3 linked regions of the Rattus norvegicus genome follow. The protein of the gene in region 1 purifies or fractionates together with the protein of each later gene. This does not show direct contact. Links are inferred from orthologs where the notes say so. Each region holds a gene or a part of one and is shown on either strand. Other genes may lie near its edges.

Region 1 (4,404 bases):
AGTCTCAGGTCAGTCTGTGTGGGTAGGAGGTGAAGGGTGAATTGAGTCAGGATGCCACCCAGAGCCAACAGTCTTTTGACTATAATGAAAGCCAGTTAATTGTCTTTTGGGGCACAGGGACCTTAAATCACAGCACATGGTTGATCTTTCTTGCTCTTGGGCACTACTACGTTTGCTATGTGTTCTGCAGTTGTCCTTGACTTTCTTGAACCTCAGTGCGCTCCCTCTCCAGATAATATTTATACTCTGTGTTAAGGAGTACAGACTCCCAAACCCTGAGGAATCACAAAGCCTGCATCATTAGAAGAGAGTGCAATGGCAATCGAGTGGATTAAGAGCTGGGGTGCTGATTCAGAACTCTAGGGTTCAGAGAGGAGGGGGTGGGGTGGAGCTAGGAGTCTCCATTTTCTTTTTTTCTTTCTTCCTTACTTCCCTCCCTTCCTCCCTTTCTTCCTTCCTTCCTTCCCTCCCTCCCTCCCTTCCTTCCTTCCTTCCTTCCTTCCTTCCTTCCTTCCTTCCTTCCTTCCTTCCTCCCTCCCTTCCTTCCTCCCTTCCTTCCTTCCTTCCGTTCTTTTTTGTAGACCAGAGTCCAGCTATGCAGCATTAGCTGGCTTCAAACTGTCAATCTCCTGCCTTTAGCCTCTGGAGTACTGAGATCTAGGGTGTACACCACCATACCCACTTGTTTTTGCTTGTTTTAAAATTTTATTTACTTAGTTTTGAGTATCATTTGGCTGGCTGGAACTCTTTTTTATAGGCCAGGCTGACTTAAAACTCACAGAGAGCCGCCTGCCTCCGAAGTGCTGACATTAAATGCATGTACTACCACACTGCTTTTAAAATTTATTGAGATACTGTTTGAGACTAGAATTATAGCTATGTGCCATTACGCCGACATGGTTTTGTTTTTCAGAAAAGGTCTTGTATCCTGGGTTGATCTCCATCTAATAGTCCTCCTGCCTCAGCTTCCCAATTGCTAAAAATACAGACCTAGCCCATCCACCACGCCCTTCGTTGGAGCCAGTGTTTTAAAGGAGCACGAAGGATTTTAGTATGGTGGAGTAAGAGGATCCCTAGGATTGGCGAGAAATGAACTATGTGGATTATTATTACAACTCAGCTAAACTAATAAGGGTTCAAGCCTTTGTGCGAGGTTCTCCCAGCTGCTTATAAACTAAGGAGCCAATCAATTGGAGCCAAGTAGAGGAAACCTCCTTCGGAGGGATAAAGACTCTCCTTTTACCAGAGGATCTGGCCTATTGCTTTTGTCGATTGGTCAAGACTCCCTATGCGTCGAGGAAGCGTAGTGCTACGGCCAATTGACGTGGCGTTACTAGGCGTGTTGCAGCCTTGAGGCGGGGCTAGGCCACAAACGAATTTTCTGATTGGTTATCGTCTGTGGGTTGCTGGGGAGAGGCACGGAGAGGCGGGCACGAGTCCTAAGGCAGTCGCTGATTGGTTGAGGTTAGAGCAGCTTTCCTTCCGATGATTCGGCTTTTCTCGGTTCAGTCTCCGTGAAGCGTTTGCAGCCGTCGTTTGATTAGTCGCCTCTCGCGGATTAGGAGCTAGCGTCTCCCGCCCGCCTGCCGCCCCGGTGCCGCTGGGAGGAAGCGAGAGGGAGGCTGCCTGTGGGTTTGTCACTGCTGTTGCTCCTCCACCTGAGTGAGTCAAGCCCGGGCCTAGTCGGTCGCCTACCATTCTCGTAGCCGTTACCCTCAGGCCGCCACAGCCGCCGACCGGGAGAGGCGCGCGCCATGGCCTCTGGAGCCGAGTAAGTGTATGCGCGTGCCCGCCCGCCGGCTGCGGGGGCGCGCACCGTGGGACCTGCCGTGCTGGGTAGGCCCGGTCGGGCCGCGTCTGAAAGTCTAGGCCGGGAGAGAGAGAGAGACGGAAGGAGAGGCAAGGGGCGAGTGAGGGCCTCGGGCCGGGCTGTGCACCCGCGCGCCCCCTAGGTCGGGCCCGCGCTGGGCCTGGGTCGGAGCCTGGACAAGATGGTGCTGTGTCATGCAGGCCCCGGCGGCCTGAGTACCTCCCTCGGCACGCCGGCCCCGGCCTAGTTAGGCCTTAGGGTCCACACTCCCCGCATGGAGCCCTTTGGCGCTAGGACGCCGGTCGGCCATTTCGCCGACCATATACAGAAGACCCCGAGCCTGAGAAGAGAAAACACTGCGAGCCTGAGGCCCGGACTGGGCCCAGTGGGCGTGGACTTTGGGCCACGTGAAGGCCTCAGGAGCCCCAAGACTCAAGGGAAGGCTGGGCCGGAAGACCTGGGGGAAGCCCAGGCTGGTCTTGGTGGATCTGGGACGGTGTTGCCCGAAGTTGGCATGTTTTGAACCACATGTAGAGAGAGGGCAGGTCATGCCTTTCTCAAATGGCAGTTTTTCACCTTGTTAGGCCTGTTGTAAACACCCGGAAGTTTTACCTAGTTTTATTGTTGTTGTTGTTATTGTTGTTTTGCTTTGTGTATTTATCTTTGTTTTTGCTATGATCGGAAGTGGCTAGAAAGGAGGTGTTTTTCTTTTATTTTGAGGTGCTGAAGTTAGAATTCGGTTGTTTTTCTTGTTTTGTTTTGTTTGTTCTTGGCTTGGAGAACTTGCAGGTTAGAGTTGGCTTATCTCTTCAAAAGAAATACATCTCTCTCCCCAAGCATCTATGCTGACTCTCTGGACATTATGGCCCCACCTTCATCTTTCAGAAAGCATCAAATAAAATTTAGCCGTCTCAGCCCATTTAGTTAGAAACTAGAGCTTCCCATACAAAAACAAAGCAAAACCAAATAGCAAGTGTAGGGAACTATAAGATCCCGCTGTTTCGAGTGGTTTAGGTTTCATTTCCTTCGGATGAAGTATTCACTCAGTTATTTGGTTAAAAGAACTATTAATATTTTAAATAGCTAGGGTGGGTGGTATTTTGTACACCTTTAATCTCAGCACTTGAAAGAAAGGCAGAGGAGCACGTTACTAGACTAGCTACTCTGGGAGTCTACGCATTCAGGCCCTGTCTCAAAAAACAACAAAATAGACTTTTAAAATACTGTCAGTATTTCAATTGTTGTTTTTTTTTTTTTTAAGTTAAATTTTTTTTGTTTGTTTGTTTGTTTTTTGAGACAGGGTTTCTCTGTGTAACCCCTGGCTGTCCTGGAACTCACTCTGTAGACCAGCCTGTCCTTAAACTCAGGGAAGTCTTTCTGCCTCTGTCTCTCAAGTGTTGGGACCAAAGGTGTGAGCCTCCACTGCCCTGTGGTTTGTTTTTTCTTTTTTGAGATCAGGGAATAATGTAGGCCAAATTGACTTCAAACTCAGCCTTGTGTTTGAACTCCTGTCTTGCTGTCACTACCTCCCATAAAATGGGATAATAGGAATGTCACAGTATGTTCCACTTAAATCTAGATTTTTGTTTGTTTGTTTGTTTTAAAATTAGAATTCCTAAAATCTGGCATCGTGGGCAGTTTGTATCTTTAGGTCATCTTGCTGATTCTTACCTGAATTTCCAAGTTCCTTTTGTGGTCCTTGAGTTCTGGAAAGAACCTGAGTCATGCAGATGATGGGAGGAGAACATACAGAGCTGTAGTTGCTCCTCAGCTCTTTTGGAGTTACTGACTCTAATCTCCACAGGATTTTGGAGAATTACAGGACTTTAAGGGCCAGGGTCTGGACAGGTATGTAGATTGGAGGTTCTCCTGAAAGGCACTTTTGAGAATAAAATACAAAGTGATCACTTGAGGTACTCCTGTAAATCAAGCAAGAAGATGAGCAGCCTCTTGGACAAGATATTTTCATAGATAAGAGGCAGTAGAAAATTTGGTGGGTTTACACACATTTATTTTTGGAATCAACAGCATTGTGGCCAAAGTGACATAACTTTTGAAGGAGACAAGAGCTAAGGAAACTCCCATTACTCTAAAGTAATGGTTAGAGATGTAACAACATTGCTGAGTGTGGTGGTGCATGTCTGTGGTTCTAATAGAGACCGGAGGATCACTGCAAGTTCAAGGTCATCTTGGTTTTACATAGCAGGCAGAACTATATATAGCAAGACCCTTTTTTAAATAAGTGAGGGTAAGGTATTTCTTGTGGCACTGCTTTTTTTGTTTGATTTTGCTGTCTCATCTCGCCCCTAGAAGAATGCTTTGTAGACATCCATTTATCATCACTACTATTCTTGAAACAGTCTTGCTATGCAGTTTAGGCTGGCTTGGAGCCTTTTGCCAATTACTGAGATAACAGGCATGGACCATACTATGTCTGGATTTCATTAATTTGTTGAAGAAATAGTTTTTCCCCTTCATTTGCTTTTTCCTTTGTTAGACCTCTGTTTCAGTTAATATTCATGCTTCTCAAACCTTGAAAAGCATTTTTTGCTTGGTTGGTTTCTTTTTGGTGAGTTAGGGTCTCTTACTATATA
Region 2 (4,387 bases), on another chromosome or scaffold:
TTATGTGTATTAGTGGCTTGCTTGGATGTATTTTTGTGTACCACAAACCTGCAGAGTACAGAAGAGGATGTTGAGTCCCCTGGACCTGGAGTTATGGATGGTGGAGAGTTTCTATGTGGGCGATGGGAATTGAACCTGTTCTGAGAACAATAAATGCTCTTAATTGCTGAGCCATCTCTCTGGCCCCAAATATGTTTTGTGTCCAAGACAGGCTCTTGTTTTGTCGATCAGGTTAGCCTCCAAAGTGCAAGTATCTTTCTGCCTCCACCTCTCTATTGTTTGGGAGGTAGGGCAGGCACAATCTAATTTTTCCTTTCTATTTGTTCACTTAGAGATTAAACCTAAAGCTGTGCCTCAGGTTGTCCAGGTAGTCTCTAGGTAGCCCAAGCTGACCTTGAACTTCTCTTGCCTTCTAGTCAGGATTCTGGGATTAACCGTGTGAACCACTCCTGCTCTTATTCTAATGAATCATTTTGTATCTCCTTAAAGGTTTGAGGATACTTAGTATTTTTCAAAACCCTGGAAAGAAAAGCTTACGAGCTCTGACTTGGGCCCATTCAATTCCCATCTTCCCTCTCAGTTCCAGGACATTGCCACAGACTCACCTAATGAATAAAATCAACTAACTGGAAAACAAAACACAACAAAAAAACCAACAAAACAAAACAAAACAAAAAGAAACAAACAAAAGCCCTTGCAAGTGTCTGAGATGGAGGCACTATATAAAGACTAGCATTCTCTTAGTCTGTCCACTCCAGTCTATACTGACAAGATGACCAGGATGTCTTCAGTGTCTAAAGGCCCGAATCTCCCAGAGATTTTACACACACCTCCATTCTTTTGGGACATCAGCTCCATGCAGATTCTCCATGATCCTTGCAATTTTGTTTCTCTTTTGAAAACCCCTGAGACACCTCCCATGGAAACAGAAGGGCAATTCTTTCATTCCTGTCTTGGGATCACAAAGAACTAGACACTGTGTATCAGGGAAGGAGCACACAGTTCTCAGGATTTTCCGCTGAGCTGTGCAGTCTGGCCTTCCCAGACCTTCTGCGGTGGGCAGCTGGCAGGGCGTGCCCAACCCACCTTCCAACTCAGGCACCTCAGATCTCATCTAATTACTATATTTCCCCAAACCTCTTTTCGTACAAAATCCTCTCTCAGGAATAGAGGCTAGGAATCGAGAGGTCATTTTTCATGAAAAATAAAATAAAATCACACACACACACACACACACACACACACACACACACACACACACACACACACACACACACACACACACACACACACACACGCGATACCCCCTAATCCTCCCACAGTACCCACCCATCTTTAACTTCTTTTTGCAGCGTGGACAATAGAGAACTACAACTCCCAAAAAGGACTGCGCTCGCCACTGGCTCAGAGACCAATGGCCGTCTGGCACGTGATCCGCTGGTCTAATCAGCGACTGGTTGGGTAGGCTTTGTCTGCAACCCGAGGCGCCCGCCCATCTCCCGCCCCCGGCCGCGCGAACGCGCGCCCCGCCCTGCGCGCCTTCCCTCCTGCGCTCGCCGGCCTCTTCTGCCTCTTAGAACCTTCCTGCGGTCGTGCTCGCATCTCTCTGCAGCAGCCTCCGGGGCTACGTTCCATCCTATCAGTCTGAGACCAGCCCAGAAGAAAAAAACCAAAAATCCTTAATTATCTTCTTTTGCTCGGTACCTACATTGGGACCATCAAAAAAAGATTATTACAGTAAACCGTAGCCATGAGGGAAATCGTGCACATCCAGGCCGGACAGTGTGGCAACCAGATCGGTGCTAAGGTAAGAATTTTATAATTTTAGATGAAATATGTAAGGATGAGATATCTGTGTTAATCGTGAGCAATGCTAACGGGGCGTTTGCATTCTCCGCTCGTCAGATTTGGCCCCTCAAAGTTTTGTACGTATAAATATAACCCATATTTGTAGCTAGCGTTCTAATATTGAGAAAATGTTTTTCTTGGCACATCTTCGGAAAGCTATTAAGAGACGCTTTTGAGTTCGGGGAAAAGGAGAGGCTGGGGGACTCTAAAGAACTGGTATTAAAAGGGGTTTTCTAACGGTCCGAGGACAGGAGGGATGCGGAAACGATCCGAGACAAAGCCGAGGCGAGGTTTTCCCCTTGCGCCACCCCCACCCCGCCTGGAGGGCCCTACTGGAACAGAATGGAGGGGGAAGGGGCGAGGTTTGGCGGGCAGCTGCAGAGATGCCCCGGTGCGCATTACCTCAACAAAGGCTTGGATACTCCATAGAACCCGCCTTCCCAAGGCTTTTTTTAGATTATGATTCTATGTAGGGCACTACTTTTACTTTTCATTGCCCTTAAAAGAGGTCTTAGGGTGTGAGCGGACAGAAAGTGTGAGCTTTTCAAGTATGTGAGAGACTGTCGGGGAGATTAAGGAGAGAGAAAGAAGGAAGGGAATAAAGATCGGAGGCCATGGGGTTTTTAAAAATTTTCCCCCCGTTTGCGGGCAATTGCCCTGTAGCGGGGGAGGGGGAGGGAGGAAGTGCGGCCGCTACATTGCAGCCGAAGGGTGGGACCCTCTTGGGGGCGGGGCTGGAGCCCCTGGCGCGCAGGGACAATGCGGCCCGGGCCCGCGGGGGCGCACTGGCCCCGCCCCTCGAGCTAGGCCCCGCCCGCACTGCTCCCGCCTTTGTGGTTTGCTGGAGGAGCGGCCCGCCACCGCAGTCACGTGGAGCGCGTAAGGGGTGGGCGACTGCAGTGGCCGCACCTTTCTCCCCCAACCCTCTTTTGTGCTGGCCAGGAAGGGCGGTGCCTGGCTTCAGGAACCAAACCTAGGTGCTGAGCCAAGAAGGTGGGCGCCAATCCGCCCATGTAGATGCTTACAGTCCCCGGCCCTTTGAATCGCCAGTCATCCGTCCTATCCACTAAGGTTGTAACCTTCCGGGGCGTAGGCTCCTCGGTAGAGGGTTCCGCAAGCAGATAACGGAATTGCAGTGTCTGCACCACAGCTTCGTTTGAGCATGTCTGGAATCGAAATGAGGGGCGGGCGGCATCCCTTAGGACTTGAGCCATTGAGGCCTCACTGCTCTCTTCCTTATGCAGTTCTGGGAGGTGATAAGCGATGAACACGGCATCGACCCCACCGGCACCTACCACGGAGACAGCGACTTGCAGCTGGACCGAATCTCTGTGTACTACAATGAAGCTACAGGTGAGGGAAGAAATCCCGATTCTTCTGCGTGCCCCCCTATTGAGACAGGGACCCCATTCATCACTGGCCGCCCTGGAACTCACATAGATCGGTCTACCTTCCAAGTGTTGGGTTTAAAGGCAGCATCACCACCCTGTTTTCCCACACTTGGGTATCAGTTACCCCTCTGTGAGACTCCCATTTTTCCCCCCTTACACACACACCTTATGGGGCTGAAGGTTGGCTCTACTGCCACCAGGTGGTAGTGCCTGGAATGACAACTTTAGTGATATGTGGCTGATTTCTCCACCCCAAATTTGAGCTATTTCATCGCTGATCGAACATCTTGAATACTTGTAGGTGGCAAGTATGTCCCTCGAGCTATCTTAGTGGATCTAGAACCCGGGACTATGGACTCCGTTCGCTCAGGTCCTTTTGGCCAGATCTTCAGACCGGACAACTTTGTTTTTGGTGAGTTATGTGGAACGGATTCCCATGTGTCCCCCAGTGGGATTATTTCAAACGTTGAAAGATTAAGAAGTATTGTGTTTCTCTCATATGTGATTAGGCTTTTTAAATTTTTCCCCCTTATTACATTCCAGGTCAGTCTGGGGCAGGCAACAACTGGGCTAAGGGTCACTACACAGAGGGAGCTGAGCTGGTTGACTCTGTCTTGGATGTGGTGCGGAAGGAGGCGGAGAGCTGTGACTGCCTGCAAGGCTTTCAGCTGACCCATTCGCTGGGTGGAGGCACGGGCTCTGGCATGGGCACCCTGCTCATCAGCAAGATTCGAGAAGAATACCCCGACCGCATCATGAACACCTTTAGCGTGGTGCCCTCACCCAAAGTGTCTGACACCGTGGTTGAGCCCTACAACGCCACCCTGTCCGTCCACCAGTTGGTAGAGAACACAGATGAGACCTACTGCATTGACAACGAGGCCCTCTACGACATCTGCTTCCGTACCCTTAAGCTCACCACGCCAACCTACGGAGACCTGAACCATCTCGTCTCTGCCACCATGAGCGGTGTCACCACCTGCCTCCGTTTCCCGGGCCAGCTGAACGCCGACCTTCGGAAGCTGGCTGTCAACATGGTGCCCTTCCCGCGTCTCCACTTCTTTATGCCTGGCTTTGCCCCTCTCACCAGCCGTGGAAGCCAGCAGTACCGGGCCCTCACTGTGCCTGAACTCACCCAGCAGGTCTTC
Region 3 (3,450 bases), on another chromosome or scaffold:
TTTTTTTTTTTTACCTTTAAGGTGTTTTCATGTATCCCAGGCTGGCCTCACTTTGGCCACGTAGCCCAGGATAACCTCGAACTCCTTTCTGATCCTCCACTTCTGGAATGTGCCACCGTACCCGGTTTATTTGATGTAGAGGATCAAATGGTGCTTCATGCACACCATAGGACACTCTATTGAGCCACACCCCAAGCTCCTATTATGTTTGTTTGTCTGGTTGGTTTTGAAGACAGCATGTATGTGGCCCAGTCACTCTAAGAACTCTGTAGCCCAGGCTGGCTTCCAATTCACAATGCTTCTGCATTAACTTCTGGGTATTGGAATTACAGGCATATACCACCATTCCTAGTCTGGTAAATTTAATCTCCAGGTTACTCCCCCCACCCCACCCCACCCCCTGCCTCTTCCTAGGGGAATATTAGGCTGGACGGAGGAAGGGGCTGAGCCTAGAGCAAACACTTAGCAAAGACCCCAAAGGGTGCTCCAATTAGAAACACTCATCCCTAGCCCACCATAACAACTCTGGATTCTGAGAGGGTGGTGAGCAGTAGTTTCCAACTTTTATTTGAGAAAAACAGAAAGTACATGTATCAAAAGAGCATTCAGATTGACAGAGAGGGAGGGCTGGTGACGGCTACTGGGGATGGGTAGCAAGCTGAAGGCTTCTACTTGGCTCCAGACTGTTCCGACTCTGGGCCTCCAATTTGGGCACGGGCCTCGAAAGTGACCGGAATGGTGATCTCCGCTGATTGTGTGACTGCTTTGGGCAGCGGAGCCTCCACGGTGAGTGTGCCCTCAGGGGACAGGGAAGAGGACACCAGGGTGGGGTCCACACCTGGAGGGAGCCTAGAGGAGCAGAAACAAAGGACAAGGGTTACACATCCCTCCTGACCCCGCCCTCCGCCCAGGGTCCGCTCCCCCACCCCCCAGCTCTCCATGCAAGGAACCAGAACTCACGTGTATTTCCGGGTGAAGCACCGAGAGATGTAGCCATGTTCATCCTGCCTTTCTTCGTGCTTGCCTGTGGGTGGGGACAGAAGGAGGTCAGAGGCAGCCCTCTGCAGTCCTAGCTAAGGAATGGCTGGGGCCCCAAGGAGGCAAACAAATTAAGAGTGTGGTGGGATGCCTGACTGTCTGGGATCTTAAAACTTTCCAGAAAGTTCGCTTCTGAGATTTGGGATGCAAAGGTCCCGGACCTGGGCTTGGCTCTGACCCAGGCTTGGATGCCAGCGTAGGCATACTCGAAGCTGTGCGCACGCCCCCACCGCGGCTGGGTCTAGGGACCCTGACTGGAGTCCTGCCACTTGCTTATTTGGGGATGAGGTCTTCCAGAAGGTGCCTTGGGTCTTCCTTCATTTTGTTTCTGTGCTGCGGGTGGTCAAGGCCTCAAGGCCTCCGGGCTTGCCAGGCAAGACTCTGCCCTGAGCTACACCCCCAGCTGTTGGTCCTTATCATCGAAGATGACAGAGCTTTTAGGAGCAAACCTGCACCCCGCGTTCCGGGGCAAGAGAAGCAGGCTAGGGAGAATGACGCGGGTCTCCGGGTCCCTGAGCTCATTTCTAACTTTTCAGGGTCCTGTCCCTCATGGTTTCAGCACCCACCCCCACCCCCCACCTCCACTGCCACCACGTTACTCGCTCGCCCCACCAGCTTCGTCCCCTCTTGGGATAAGGGAAACTCACCAGTGATCTCCACCACGCCTTCCTTGGTCTTAACTGTGAGCTCCTCAGGAGCGAAGTGGTTGACGTCCAGGGACACGCGCCAGCGATCGGCCGTCTGTCGGATCTCTGAGACACCGCTGCTGAGTTGCCGGTTGAGCGCCCGGCTGAAGGCGGGCGCGGCCAGGGTCACTGCTGCGGGGCCCTCGGCGGTCGCGGCGGGCAGAGGGCGCACATAGCCGGGCCAACCAGCGGAGCTGAACCACTGAGACCACTCATCGGGAAACCGAGGCACCCCGAAAGCTTGATCGAAGAGGCGGCTGTGGGCAGGGTACCAGTCCCGGAACGGCTCCCAGCTGGGGCTCCGCAGTAGCGAGAAGGGCACGCGGCGCTCGGTCATGGTCTTGGCTGAGCTGGTCAGGGCTGAGGATCTAGAAGCACTGGGCTGAGGATCCGAGAAGTGCCGAGCTGGAGCCCCAACTGTGCTTTTATGGGTGTCCAGCCGGGTATTTTTAGCAGGCGGTGCTTCAGGTCTCTATTAATGGCAATGACCGTCTAAGGGGCCGTCCCTCGCCGCCCCTCCCCTCTGCATTCCTCCCCCTAAGCTTACGAAGGGGGCGGGCAGGCAGGGCCAGGAAGGTTCTGCCCCCATCTGGAAACTTCTCTAGTTGAAGAAAACAAATGACTGTAATACCGGTAGCTGGAGCAGTTCCCACTGTCGCTTAGAACGCTGCAGTCTGAAGGGCGGTGGCCTGGGGCCAGTCCCATCGTTTGTGGAGAATAAACCAGGAGGGGTACGGTCTTTTGTGTCGCAATTAGGAAGCAACTGAACCTGGTCTGAGCCAGAAGGAGGCCTGTGGGGACACACTTGTCAGGGCACACCTGTGGAGGTCTCTGGATGACCAGCCAGACTAGCTGTCTTCTACCATGTGTCTCTTTGGGGACCAAAGGCTTGGTGGCAGGCGCCTTCGTCCACTAAATATCTTACTGACCCTGAGACTTCTTTTTCTCTTCCTTCCCTCCTTCCTTTCTCTCTTTCTTTGAGACAGGGTTTTTCTTTTTTGTTTTAATGCTTTTTTAAACATTATTTTTTGTGTATCAGCGTTTTGCCTGCTTGTACGTCTGTGTGAGAGTGTCAGATCTTGGAGCTACAGAGAGTGTCAGATCTCGGAGTGCCCTGCGGGTGCTAGAATTTGAACCTGGGTACTAGGAAGAGCAGTCAGTCCCCCTAATCGCTGAGCCATCTCTCGGGAGACATCAAGCCTGGTGCCTGCAAACTGGATGGGCAGTGAACCCCCTAGCATCCTCCTGTTTCTGCAACTGCCCCACCCCTCCAGCCTAGCGCTAGGATTAGGATCTTTTTTCAAAACAGGATTTTTCTGTGTAGTCCTGGTTGTCTTAGAACTCATTAGACTAGGCTGGCCTGGATCTCACAGATCGGCCTGCCGTTTCCTCTGGGAGAGTTGGGATTAAAGGCTAGAGGCATCACATGGTAGCCACCTCCAGCTTTTATATGGATTGCTTTGTGGTCCATACAAAAGAAACTAGGGTTAAAGGTCACCTGTGATGTCTATTAGCATACCAATGAGCACTGGCCTCTGGGCTCACTGGGCAACTGAAATACTACTCTTAGCTCTTCTCAGCCCTTCTCACCCTGCCCCTTACTCATAAACGTCTCCAGTTCTTGGGGCTCCCCTCCCCCAGCTTCTCACGACTGTATGTGCTCTCTTGGTCCTCTCTCCCTCATCCCCCTCTCTTGGTCTTTTTTGCCCCATCTCTCTTTGCTGGC

What was found.
Region 2: the proteins of Vcp (region 1) and Tubb5 purify together in Homo sapiens (affinity purification with mass spectrometry; 4 studies listed by BioGRID, with this or other methods). This does not show direct contact. The link is inferred for Rattus norvegicus from reciprocal best matches to the Homo sapiens genes VCP and TUBB.
Region 3: the proteins of Vcp (region 1) and Hspb1 purify together in Homo sapiens (affinity purification with mass spectrometry; 3 studies listed by BioGRID and IntAct, with this or other methods). This does not show direct contact. The link is inferred for Rattus norvegicus from reciprocal best matches to the Homo sapiens genes VCP and HSPB1.

What each region holds. Positions count from the first base shown.
Region 1 is NC_086023.1:62,022,527-62,026,930, reverse strand, and holds the start of Vcp (transitional endoplasmic reticulum ATPase), read left to right. Parts: upstream 1-1,543; 5' UTR 1,544-1,754; coding exon 1,755-1,771; intron 1,772-4,404. UniProt on the Homo sapiens protein: Necessary for the fragmentation of Golgi stacks during mitosis and for their reassembly after mitosis. Involved in the formation of the transitional endoplasmic reticulum (tER).
Region 2 is NC_086038.1:2,916,023-2,920,409, forward strand, and holds the start of Tubb5 (tubulin beta-5 chain), read left to right. Parts: upstream 1-1,554; 5' UTR 1,555-1,750; coding exon 1,751-1,807; intron 1,808-3,092; coding exon 3,093-3,201; intron 3,202-3,540; coding exon 3,541-3,651; intron 3,652-3,782; coding exon 3,783-4,387. UniProt on the Homo sapiens protein: Tubulin is the major constituent of microtubules, a cylinder consisting of laterally associated linear protofilaments composed of alpha- and beta-tubulin heterodimers.
Region 3 is NC_086030.1:26,430,107-26,433,556, forward strand, and holds Hspb1 (heat shock protein beta-1), read right to left. Parts: upstream 2,196-3,450; 5' UTR 2,062-2,195; coding exon 1,686-2,061; intron 1,025-1,685; coding exon 961-1,024; intron 850-960; coding exon 669-849; 3' UTR 534-668; downstream 1-533. UniProt on the Homo sapiens protein: Small heat shock protein which functions as a molecular chaperone probably maintaining denatured proteins in a folding-competent state. Plays a role in stress resistance and actin organization.